Linked DNA regions of Arabidopsis thaliana. The protein of the gene in region 2 interacts with the protein of the main gene of each other region in a pairwise test. Each region holds a gene or a part of one and is shown on either strand. Other genes may lie near its edges. The genes, in order: AT4G04760 and ABCB23.

What was found.
Region 1: the proteins of ABCB23 (region 2) and AT4G04760 interact in a protein complementation assay, tested with the Arabidopsis thaliana proteins (one large-scale study listed by BioGRID).

Annotation. Positions count from the first base shown.
Region 1 is NC_003075.7:2,420,705-2,427,163, reverse strand, and holds the start of AT4G04760 (Major facilitator superfamily protein), read right to left. Parts: upstream 3,001-6,459; coding exon 2,857-3,000; intron 2,773-2,856; coding exon 2,710-2,772; intron 2,613-2,709; coding exon 2,523-2,612; intron 2,405-2,522; coding exon 2,345-2,404; intron 2,220-2,344; coding exon 2,154-2,219; intron 1,951-2,153; coding exon 1,885-1,950; intron 1,808-1,884; coding exon 1,732-1,807; intron 1,633-1,731; coding exon 1,568-1,632; intron 1,483-1,567; coding exon 1,390-1,482; intron 1,114-1,389; coding exon 1,024-1,113; intron 927-1,023; coding exon 842-926; intron 744-841; coding exon 700-743; intron 605-699; coding exon 542-604; intron 445-541; coding exon 385-444; coding exon of another isoform or gene 380-384; intron 292-379; coding exon 238-291; intron 59-237; coding exon 1-58. Other genes in the region: AT4G04750 (Major facilitator superfamily protein), read right to left, coding at 4,540-4,682, 5,057-5,171, 5,249-5,308, 5,413-5,466, 5,554-5,613, 5,730-5,792, 5,875-5,918, 5,994-6,078 and 2 more. UniProt on the Arabidopsis thaliana protein: Sugar transporter.
Region 2 is NC_003075.7:14,138,543-14,145,001, forward strand, and holds the start of ABCB23 (ABC transporter of the mitochondrion 1), read right to left. Parts: upstream 2,513-6,459; 5' UTR 2,354-2,512; coding exon 794-2,353; intron 470-793; coding exon 1-469. Other genes in the region: IAA11 (indole-3-acetic acid inducible 11), read left to right, coding at 3,746-4,005, 4,460-4,728, 4,821-4,953, 5,045-5,106, 5,202-5,386; AT4G28650 (Leucine-rich repeat transmembrane protein kinase family protein), read right to left, coding at 5,613-6,028, 6,109-6,459. UniProt on the Arabidopsis thaliana protein: Performs an essential function in the generation of cytoplasmic iron-sulfur proteins by mediating export of Fe/S cluster precursors synthesized by NFS1 and other mitochondrial proteins.

The DNA.
Region 1 (6,459 bases), about 12 Mb from region 2:
CTGATGCTATGATCCATGGTATTGATCCCATACCAGAACCGTATGATCCAAAATACACCTAATAAAATAAATAATCAAAAATCAAAATACAGTTGTTACGGGAAAATTATGAAAATTCAACACTAAATTAGAAAATTAAAATCAGAAAATTATTTTAGATTTTCAAATTTAAATAGTCTAAAACTTTATATCTAAAAAACATTTTAAATTCTAAATCCTAAAACCCTTATTAATTACCATAACACTAAAGAGAGCCAAGACAGGAGTTCCTGTTTCCCAGCAATGATTCTCCTGTAGAACGAAATAACCGGTAATTTTAAGGTCCGGTATAACAAACCAAAATTAATTTCCGGTTTAGTAGAGTAGATGGAATAGTAACCATGCCTTCAAGAAGAATGAAATGGCTGTGGTAAGACAACCCAAGAACATTCCAGCTTGAGAAACCTACAATGATCACTCAAAATATATTCCTAAACTTTGTTCGAAAACCTAACAAAATTAACATATCGATTTCGGATACGAGTTTTAAATTTTGTTTTACCAATAGGAGTGTACGTCTTCCAGATACATCAACAAGCACAGTACCTAAAATGCCTCCAAACATCTACAAAAATGATTGGTCAAAAAGTGTATAGAATATTATACGGAAAGAGTTTTGTCTAACCATGCTCTATGGTATTGTATTAGTATAACTATAACCTGAACAACTGATGTAGATATGAATCCAAAGTCACTCGATACACCTGGATCATCGGATAGTATTTAAGGACCATTTGATGAAGTAATCATATCATTATGTTAGATCAAATAAAGAGAAACAAGAAGAAGAAGGATTATATACCGGTAGAGATGAAAATGGAGTCAGTGTAAAAAGAATAACCGTTAAGACCTCCAAGCTGAGGCAAAGCTATAAGAACAACTCCAATCTGTATATAAACCAAATGAAATATATAAATCAAGCAAATGCAAACAAAATAATGCTAGATTTTGAAGTTTTTTTAACCTTTTTGAATAGTTACTTACAGTAAGTGAGAATGCATATTTTCGCTGAAATAGCTTGAAGAAACCGCGGTCATCGATGTCTTGTTGTTGTTTAACATGTTCTGTATATTCCTGATAATCATCAAATTGTTTAGAAATTTATGTTATAAAAAAAATCAAAAAGGATGAACGACCTGTCTCCCCTAATAAGTTTTATATAACACCATAACTATACAGAATTCGGATCGCAATCCTAGTCCACAAAAAATAGAAGTTAAAGTCCAGTTTCACCCTCAATTGGAGGTTCGAATCTTTGGTCCCCATAAATTCAAATTTCATGGTTTATATTTGGTTTATTATACTGGACTCGATGCCAAACCGAAACCCAGTAGATTAGAAGGTCCTTACTAATATCTCTGCTGCTTCATCTGATACATCAGATTTTTCTCCTCGCAGGCTTAACAAAACTGCTTCAACTTCCATTTCTCTTCCTACTTTAGCCTACCAACAAATTTCATCTTGGTTTATTTGATTTACGATTTTAAGATATTCGACCAAAAGTTTTTTGTTATAACCAAATGCTTACTAGCCATCTAGGAGATTCGGGGATGAAGAAAAGAAGAGGCAGAACCATTAGAGAAGGTATACATCCTGTTCAAAGAAAAACCATTAGTACATTTTCTTGTACTTCGAGAAATGAGAAGTTTTCGATTTTTGCAAATCGATAAGAATCGGTCTTTTTTAACATACCCAAAATGGCTAAATTGCGCCAGGCAACGATGGTTCCAAGTGCATAAAAGACCGATATACCAACACCGGCGAATAACTGTAAAACATTCAAAACTTGTAGTGAAGGAAAATGCTTATAATAGTTTCCAAGCTTTTGGTTCTCTTGAGTTTTACCTGCGCGAAGGAAGAAGCAGCTCCTCGCAAGTTTCTTGGTGCTATCTCGGTGATGTAAACTGGTCCCTGTAATTAATAATTATCAGATCATAAGATTTGTTACAAAAGAGAACTAAATATATCTGAACATAAAACTTACAAGTTACAAGATATCAAATAAGTTTCAATGCTACATAACTACATTACCAACTAGCTACCTCTAAATCAAAAAGTCACACCATAAATAAGAAAAAATACCAAACCCTTCTAGTTTTAGTATTCACTCATACCAAATATACGCTAATTCCGATCGAGATCCCTTGTAGTAACCTTCCGAGATCAAGCAGCCAAACACCCTTTGTAACCAAAAAGTCAAAGAACAAAAATAGTAATAAGATACAGTTGAGGAACTATAATAATATATCGACTTAAAAACAGTACAATCTAAACCATTATAGAAAGAACTCAGAAAGAAACAAACCTTGGCAAATGCAATAGCGAACCATCCGATTACAAAGAGGATGTTTGTGATCCATATAGTCTTAGTTAGAAAGAGAATAATCACATAAAGATGATTAATAACCATAATTGTATAATCATATCCAATTCGTTATAAGAAAGTTTTAAACACTAATCATTCTTAAGTAGAAGAAACTTACTTTGACACGACCAACTAAATCTGTTAACTTCCCACAGATTAATGCTCCAAGGATTAACCCCACCGTCAATATCGATCCAAATAGTGAATACTGAGCAAAGAAAAGAAAACCAAGATCATATCGAACCAGAAATAAACCGGAATAAACCGTAAGAGCAACAAAAAAATAAAAAAGTGATTGAACTTGCATCAGCTATGGAGAGATTCAAGTCTTTCATGATACTTGTTTGTGTCGGAGCCGAATATCCAATCTGTGAACATAAAGAATCAAATAGTAACATTTTAATTAGGTTTAATAAAAAATTAAACATGCAAGAACGCATTAGGAAACTCACAATGCATCCAAAGGCAAAGGCGCCGCAAGAACCGACAATGAAAGCAAGAACAAAAGGTCTCGTGCATGCATTTGATATTTCAGACAAAAGTGAAGAAGAAGAAGAAGTAGAAGAAGCTGGTAATAATAAACCTTCTTCTGCCATTTTTCAGAAATCTGTGATTATGAATCAAATTTGCTTCAGGAAAATGCTCAAACCTTTTCGAGTTTGGAAGATTGTTGGTCTCGTGGAGCAAAAACTGCAAAAATAGCGGAACTGAAAACTAAACACAAATTGTGTTTGCTTTTGTTTCTTTCTCGTGGACATATAATATTAGTTCTAAGAAAACATATAAAAAATTAACATAGGTAATTAAATTATAACTATAATTATATTTTATTTTAATTGTTTTTATTAAAAACCATATTTTATCTATTGTTTTGGATTCACTTAGATCGTGCAAGTTTGTTACCAACTTCTGAAAATCGAATCATCTATATTTTTATTTGTTGGTCTGGATTTTCACTCATTTAAAACATGTGAAATCTTAAAGAATTAAACTTGAGTTCACCCATTTATTCAGCTCCTTTTGTATTAACCAATAAAAACATGCAATGTTAAATCTTATTTAAATTACATAATAAATTAAACCTATAATTATAAATCCAAGCTAATATATAATTTCGTTTAATTACAAAATCTAAACCCTAATTCTCCTTTGTAAACCTAAATCGCCATTTAAAAACTTATTTAATCGTAAAAAACTAAATCCTAATCGTATTTTCTAAACCCAAACTGACATTTAACCTCGTTTAATTATAAAATCTAAATCTGTTTATAAATTTAAACTAATATTTAACCCGTTTAATCATCAAATCTAAACTCTAATCGCACTTTCCAAACTCAAACCGATATTTAACCTCGTTTAATCATAAAATTTAAACCTTGACTTTTTCTAATAAATCCAAACCGATACATAATTTCATTTTAGTGGCAACTTAGATTTTATAATTAAATAAAATTCTTTTTATTATTATTAGGTTTCAGATTTTAATTGGCTAAAATAAAGGAGGTGAATATAAGGTTCTCAAATATTTTTCAATCTTAAATGCAAGTAAATGCGCTTACGTAAAAGCTGTAGACATGTGTAAACAAGCATTTCACGTCATAAGATCTCATTTTCCATCAATTCTATTTGTTTTTTTTTTATAATTAGAGTATCTCCAACTCATCTCTATTTTTATTTTTATATTTTAATTTTGTTTTTATTTCACTGTAATTCATATTTATTTTTATCTCAAAAATAGATATCTCTACTTTTTCTAAAAAAAATTTTGTAACAAATAGAGATCTCTATTTTTCAAAAACTATTAGTGTAAAAATAATTTTTTTTTAACTTTTTTCTCTATATTTAAATGAAAAAATAGAGACAATCATTAGAGATGCTATTAAGATTTTGTAATTTTATGGTTATCAGGTTGTATATTGTTGTTGCGTCGAAAACATATAAACATGATATATATCATAATATATGCCTTAACCAAGCTTTTCAGTTGAACTGTAGATCCCTTTCAGGGACCAATTTAATAAATATTTATAGGCCAATGACCCAATCGTAAAAATACGATGGAAAAAAGAAAGACAAACCCCATGAAATATAAAGAGATCTGAAATTAAAGTTTGAAGGTAATTTTATTTTATCTCTTAGAAAATTGTAGAATCTTCAGAAGTAGAATCAGTAAAAGCAGATTGAATTTCTTCTAAAGATTTGCCTTTGGTCTCTGGAACAAGCTTGGCTGTGAACACAAATCCAAGACCCATCACAGTGGCAAACATCATAAACGTTCCTGCAATAATGTTATGGAATAAATCATTTGTTTTTTATAGTTTTTTTTCTCAAATATTTCTTTATGATAGTTAAAACCTTTTTGTATATAATAAAAATATATTCTTTATGTTTCTTAAAGTTTGATTTTGTAGAAAAGACACACATATTAAGAAAATATATTAAATGTTGAATATAAATATATTATTTTTTGTGTTTTACAGTTTTCTATAACTTTAAACCAATGATAATTAATTAATTTTTTTTAAATTACAATTCATCAATACTAATCAATAAATATTGTATGAAAAACTTAAAATATCAATCTTTTAAAAATATTTTTTTTTCTAAAAAATTAATCAGTTTGGAACAGAGGGAGTATTAAAGATTAATTACCTGTAGAACTCCATTGAAGCAAAAAATTGAAGGAGTAAGTAACGAGCCATGAGCTTATAGAGGTGACCAAGTTACACACTGTTCCTGCTGCTCCTTTCACGTCTACAGGGTAAATCTAATAAAAATAATAGTAACGTTATAATGATTTAACATTTAGTTAGTGGGTTAGTTTTTTAAAATTGATTAATCAACCTCTGATGCTATGATCCATGGTATTGGTCCCATGCCTAATCCGTATGATCCAAAATACACCTAATATGATAAAATACACAAAACACCATGTTACAGTTTTGGCATTGTTTAAATAATGGTCTTTTGAATATATCTATTTATTGTGATGATAGATTATTAATTACCATAACACTAATGAGAGCCATTATTGGTGTTCCTGTTTCCCAGCAATTGTTCTTCTGTAGAGTAAGAAACCCAAAAAAGATTACATTCCGGTTTTTCAAAATTGAAACCAAACCACCGGTTTAGTAGACTAGTAAACATGCCTGCAAGAAGAATGAAATGGCTGTTGCTAGACAACCCAAGAACATTCCAGCTTGAGAAAACTACAATCACTCAAAAAATCTTCTCTTTAATCTTCTTCAAAACAAATAATTTCAAATAACTTATCGATTCGATTATTTATACACTTTCGGTTTTTCGAGTTTTAAATTTCGTTTACCAGTAGGAGAGAACGTCTTCCGGATATATCCACAAGCAAAACACCTAAAACGCCTCCAGTCATCTACAAGAATGATGATAGATTGTTATAGGAAAAATAAACTTATGAATAATAGTCATGCTTTATGATCTTATATTAGTAAAACCTGAACAATAGATGTCAATATGAATCCAATGTCACTTGATACACCTGATCATTCAATCAGATAATGATTGACCGTTTGATGAAGAAATATCAAAGAAGAAGAATGGGGTTATTATTTACCGGTAGAGGTGAAAATGGTATCGGTGTAAAAAGTATAACCATTAAGACCTCCAAGCTGAGGCATAGATATAAGGACAACTCCAATCTGTGTAAAACAAAAGGGTTGAATAATTAAGAAAATGCAAAGATAATAATGTTTTCAATTTTATGTTGTTACCTCTTTTTGAAAAGTTACTTACAGTTAGTGGCAACGCGTATTTTCGCTGGAACAACTTGAAGAAACCGCGGCTATCGATGTCTTGTTGTTCGACATGTTTTGTATATTCCTGATGATCATCAAAAATTTGGGAAATCAATGTAAATATATATGTTGATCATATGACTATTATAATGCATGTATATTTATATATCCTTACTAATATCGTTGCTGCTTCATCTGATACATCAGATTTTGCTCCTCGCAAGCTTAATAAAACCCCTTCAACCTCCTTTTCCCTCCCAACTTTAGCCTACAAACAAAATTCAT
Region 2 (6,459 bases):
CCAGTGTACTGTTTTGTTGTGTCCATAATTTAGCGTATCTGCCAGATTTCTCCAACAACACTTGGTGTGTCCCTTTTTCCACCACTTTCCCTTTCTCCATTACTATTATCTCATCACATTGCATCGCAGTGGTCAGCCTATGTGCAATGAAAATGCATGTTCTGTTACTCGCTAGCGACCTGAACGTTTTCATTATCTCTGCCTCGGTTTTACTATCAAGCGCATTCGTTGCTTCGTCACACAAGAGAATCGCTGGTGATTTCAGAAAGGCACGAGCAAGTGCCACTCTTTGTTTTTCTCCACCACTCAGCATCAGCCCTCTTTCTCCCACCGCGGTCGAATATTTATCCGGAAATTTCATGATCGTATCGTGAATCACTGCTCGCCTAGCTGCATCGTACACCTCTTCTTCTGTTGCTGAAAGGTTTCCATAGTGAATGTTGTGAAATATTGTGTCATTGAAGAGCACCTGCCATAATTCCAGGAGTCAATTGAGGCTATGATTAGTCTAGTTTATCTTTAAGTATGCAAGTTATAACCATTAAATCGATTTGATATTAAAATGAAAATTAAGATCATCAGGTTTAATCAGAATCACTTTTGGAGTGTAAAATGTCATCTGCATGTGATTTATGTAGAAATTGTGACTGAATAACAAAAAAGTTTAAAATACCCTAAATAGATTTTTCCAATAAGCCCTAAGTAGATAACTAACATTTTACCTAATTTGTCACGGTTTAGACTAATAACAACAAAATGTAAGAGAACAATTCTAGTCAAAATGGCAACTTACAGTATCTTGAGGGACAACTCCAATGCAGCTTCGAAGACTCTCTAGTGTCACTTCCTTTATATCTTGACCATCAATCCTAACATTACCAGAATCTGTGTCAAAGAACCTGAAAATCATTCTAAGAATCGTCGATTTGCCGCTTCCGCTACTACCAACAATCGCTACACTTTTCCCTGCCGGTACCTCAAATGAAATCCCATCCAAAATCTTTCTCTCTGGCAGATAACTAAAATGTACATTCTCAAAACTGATGCTTCCACCTCTCAGAACAAGAGGAGGTAGCTTTGTCTCTGTATCTTTATCTCCAATATCGGATCTCTCCTCTAGCAACTGGAACAATGATTTCATATCAACAAGACCCTGAACGGTTTCACGGTAAACACCACCGAGAAAGTAAAGAGGAAGAGACAATTGAAAGAGAAGACCATTCACCATCACCAAATCACCAACTGTCATCTCTCCATTCATAATCCCTTGAGAACACAACACCATTGATGTTGACAAAGCTGTACTAAATATAAAACTCTGTCCAAAATCTAAAAACGCAAGACTCTTCTGAGTTTGCAATGCAGCATCTTCATATCTTCCGAGTAAATCATCGTACTTTCTCGCTTCGTAATCTTCGTTGTTAAAATACTTAACAGTCTCGTAGTTTACAAGAGAATCAATAGCTCTTGTGCTTGCATCATTATCAGCTTGGTTCATAGCTTTTCTAAACTTAGTTCTATACTGTGTCACAACCAATGTGAAAGCTATGTATGATCCAACGGAAAGAGAAGTGATCAAAGCAAAAACAGGTCCAAAATTGTATGCTAATATACCTGTGACCATTGATATCTCCAAGATCGTTGGAACAACATTGAAAACCATAGCAGAGAGGATCGTGTTAATCGCGCGACTTCCACGGTCAATGATTCTATTCAAAGCTCCTGTTTCTCGATTCAAATGGTAACGAAGATCAAGATCATGTAAATGCGAGAGCACTTTACGAGAAACAGATCGTATTGTGCGGAGAGATACTTTGGAGAAAACAGCAGTACGAAGCTCGTTAAAAGCTGAAGATCCAGATCGAGCAATGCCATAGCCAATGAGAACGGAAGAAGGAGTAGCGAAAGCAGCAAGTAGATAAGGATTTGAATCAGTGATTGTTGAAGATGAATATGAAGAGAGTAAATCGATAGATAATTTGAAGAGGAAAGGAACTTGAACATTCAAGAACTTAGCTCCTATGAGACACGCTAAAGCAGCGATGACTCTGAATCGGAGTTCTGGGTTGTCTTTCATCCATAGATAGCTTGAAATCGTGCGGAGGATCTTCTTAGATGATGCTGTTTTGGTTTGATCTTGATTTGGAGTTGAAGTTGAAGTTGAGAAGAAGAAGACTCGTGCGTTGACTGGAGATGGAGATGGAGATGGATCGGTGAAGAATGCATTGATAGCTGGTGATCTCTGAATTGAGCTACGTTTGATAAAACTGGAGAAACTGTGATGGTGATGATCAGAGCGAAGACGGTGATACAGAGAAGCGCGAGAGAGGAGAAACCGAGATCCCCTCATCATCGCTTCTTGTCCGAACGAATCACATACAATTTGGTCTAAATCGATTCTTTAATTCTCTGTTTTGTTCTCTCTGTACTACAGAGTAGCTTAACAAGAAGACGAGGAAGAAGATATCAACTCGGAAATAACCGGTTTTGGTTTTCTGTTTTTATTAAGATAATGAAATTAGCTATCTCGGAGATAACCGGTACTGGTTTGATTGCAACTGGGCTTGAGAGAATCAGATACGGTGGTACACACCGCAGCGAATCTCAGAGTATTCATTCTCTCACATGGACTCTTTCGAAAATTCAACTCTTCTACTATATGCAATTAATTAAAAAATTGAACGGTTTATTTGGAAAGTGAAAAGAAGCAACGGTCGGTTATGTCTTCCCTCCAGACGACAGGGTTTTTATTCGGACACCACTAAAAATGGACAGCTAAACTCCTTTATTGCCTTAAAAATTCAATTTTAATTACGTGATTAAAGATTAGATTGCCACTTGATTTTAAAATACTAATTAAACCTATATAGTGATGGTATCTAACTATCAATAGCTTTAAACCGGAACTAATCAGCACCGTCCGATTTGGAAAGATGGATGGACCAAAGGACGTGTGGGCACGAGTCCCCCCTCTCTGTACACGTGGGTCCCACTAAGCCTTCTAAGTAATCTTTTTCTAGCCGTCCGATTGAATCCCATGAAGCTGACATGTGAGCCCCCACTTCTTGAAAATATATATTTGTATGAATTTTGTTTTTATTTTATTTTCCAGCCTTTTAAAAATGTTTTTATTAATACCACGGATACTACCGTTTTGATATCAAATTTTCTTTGAAATCTATCCGATCTTATATCAGATTTTGGAGTCAAATACCAACTACAAAAATCTGAACATTAATACAATAATATACATTTTGAAAAATCATGTTGTCCATTATATTTTTTGGCATCTAATCCTATCGTTAATTGATTATAAGTTTATAAATATATTACAACGGAATTTCGCATAATTGTAAAACTTCCCTATATAAACTTACGAAAAATTGAAATAATTATACCAAAAGTCCACATATTTTATTTTAAAAACTTACATAAGTGGATATTGTTAAAAGAAGGAAAAAAAAAGAGTTTCTAGTAAATATAGTCACGGAATAATGTGAGAAATTTATTATTGGATCAAAAAAATGATAAAATTGGGCGAGAAATAAGACTAAAAGTTAGGGAAGTGAAAAAGAGACAAATCCCACCCGTCGTGTCTTCTTGTTCATCCTTTGTTTCCCTTTTTCTTTCTCACTGTTTCTGCCTTACTTAAAGTCTCAATCTTTGCTTCAAATTCAACCCATCTCTTTTTCCTCCCTTCCCTCACAATCAAAATCTTAATTCTCAGCTTCTGGTTTTGTCGAAAATGGAAGGCGGTTCCGCTAGTGGATCGGCTTCGGCTTTGTCAAACGATGAAAATCTCGTCGTTTCTTGTGAGGATTCTTCTTCTCCTATAGGGAATGAGCTTGAGCTTGGTCTTACGTTGAGCCTTGGTCGCAAAGGGTATCGAGATTGTAGGGTTTACGCTGATGATTCTTCTTCTTCTTCATCATCTTCTTCTCTGAGCAGAGCTAGCGTAATTGCTGGGATCAAGAGGACAGCTGATTCCATGGCTGCAACTAGTGGGTGAGTGAAATTCTCTTCCCTTTCCTCTTTTACATTTTGATCAATTATGGTTTATTTGGGGATTCTTAATATCATGATTATCAATAGAACTATAAATAAAGATTTGATTTTTGCTTTTTATGGTTATGGGATTGATTAGACAGAATGTCCTTGATCACAGTTATCTGAAAAGATTCGACCTTTGTTACGTATAGATGACTTTGAATGTATCTTCCTGATCATTAGATAGTTTGCTTTGGTCATTATATCTTCAAATTGAATCTTACTATCGTTTTCTAGAGATGACAGTTTTTTTCTTCTTGGATTCTAAAGTATTTATTAGCTTTGGAGAGAAAGTGATTAATCCTGTATAGTGATTCTCTTGGTATCTGATTTTACAAGGCCCTGAAGTGTTTATAACCCTTTTTATGTGTTTACTCTTATTTGAGCAATTTGAAACCTTTGAAAATGGCAGGCAAGTTGTGGGATGGCCACCAATAAGGACTTACAGAATGAACAGTATGGTTAACCAAGCTAAGGCTTCAGCCACTGAAGATCCGAACTTGGAGATAAGTCAAGCCGTAAACAAGAATAGAAGTGATTCAACAAAGATGAGAAATTCCATGTTTGTTAAGGTGACTATGGATGGCATTCCTATTGGAAGGAAAATCGATCTGAATGCTCATAAATGCTATGAATCATTGTCAAACACTCTAGAGGAAATGTTTCTGAAACCTAAATTAGGTGTGCTTTTCGAATCTCATGGCCTTTTTTTTGGTTCCTTTGAAGTTGGTTCTTGGTATGGGAAATGAAGTTATGATTCTTTCTTTAATCAGGTTCACGCACACTAGAAACCGATGGTCACATGGAAACACCGGTCAAGATACTACCAGATGGGTCTTCCGGATTAGTACTAACGTATGAAGACAAGGAAGGAGATTGGATGCTTGTTGGCGATGTTCCGTGGGGGTATGCATACATATGTTCTTATGCTTTTGATGCTTTGTCCCGTGTAAGCGTCAAATTCTGAAGTTTGAACCTGAGTTTTACTTGTGTCTAGGATGTTTATTGGTTCAGTGAGAAGGCTCCGGATAATGAAAACATCGGAGGCTACTGGTAAAGGTACATTTACTGATTCGATCAAATCCTGATATCTGTATTAAAATCATTGTTTTGTCGTTGTGACCGTGTTTGTGTGATCCTTGTTTACAGCTCAGATGATATTATGAAGCAAATAATAATCTACGAAGAACCCTTTATGTTTGAAGCAGTAATAAGACAGATCACAGATCAAAGAGAAGACAAAAACATTGTAAGAAGCTTCTTCTTCTTCTCTCCCCTTTACAGTTTCTTTTTTGGCTCTGCCATTTTTCTTTTAGTTAGTTATATGTTCTCTTTGTAAATCACACTTTAAAAATCTATAAGAAAACCCTTTCTTGCACAAAAACAAAACGGTTCAGAGCAATGCACAAAGTTAATATGATCATGTAAAACAAAGGAAACTTATTCTACATGGAAAAATTAAATCAAAAGATACATATCTCTCTCTCTTTCTCTCTTTCTTCTACATACAGAACACGAATCGAACGAATCAGTTTATCGGCCTCTTTTGATTCTTAAATCTCATACTAAAGAAGGCCATTTACAGGTGAAGTACTAAAAACCGATGAATGTTTCTCGGCCAAGCTACGACTAGTGTTCTCTTCATTACTATTACTTTTCCTCCTCGGTTTAGCCTCTCCGAGCATCGATATCACATCTCTCATCGAAGGTCTGTCTTTCGGGAGCTTTGTAGTGCAGAGAAGAGCAATCTGTAGAACTAAAAGCATCTCTTCTTGCACATATCTGCAGTTTCCTACGTTAGGATCTAATGCTTCTTCTAGTGATATGTTGTCTCTTATCTTCCTTCTCACCCACTCCACAATGTCTACTGATTCTCCAAACTCCGGTTCCAATGGTCTTCTTCCGGTTAACAGCTCCAATAGTACGACGCCGTAGCTGTATATGTCTATCTTCTCATCCACCTTCAAAGTGTATCCATACTCTGCAAATGATCAACCATATGTTGTTAGACTAAACCGGATTGTAATCAATTTAGTAATCGGTATGGTATTTAAACCTTACCGGGAGCAATGTAACCGTAAGAACCGGCGACCATTGAAACGGTTTCTTTCTTCCTCGCCATCATCCTGGCGAGGCCAAAATCGGCGATTCTGGCGTCGAGATTCGCGTCGAGCAAGATATTGTTGGATTTGATGTCTCTGTGAATCACCGGAGGATGACAATCATGGTGGAGGTAAGCGAGGCCGTGAGCTACACCTAACGCGATGTTGTAACGCGAAACCCAATCAACGAGAAGTCTCCCGGCGGCGTTTTTGCCGTGAATCGCATCACCAAGGTTTCCGTTGAGCATGAATTCATATACGATCATCATGTTTTTGTCGTTGTATAAGAACCCTAGGAGCCTCACTATGT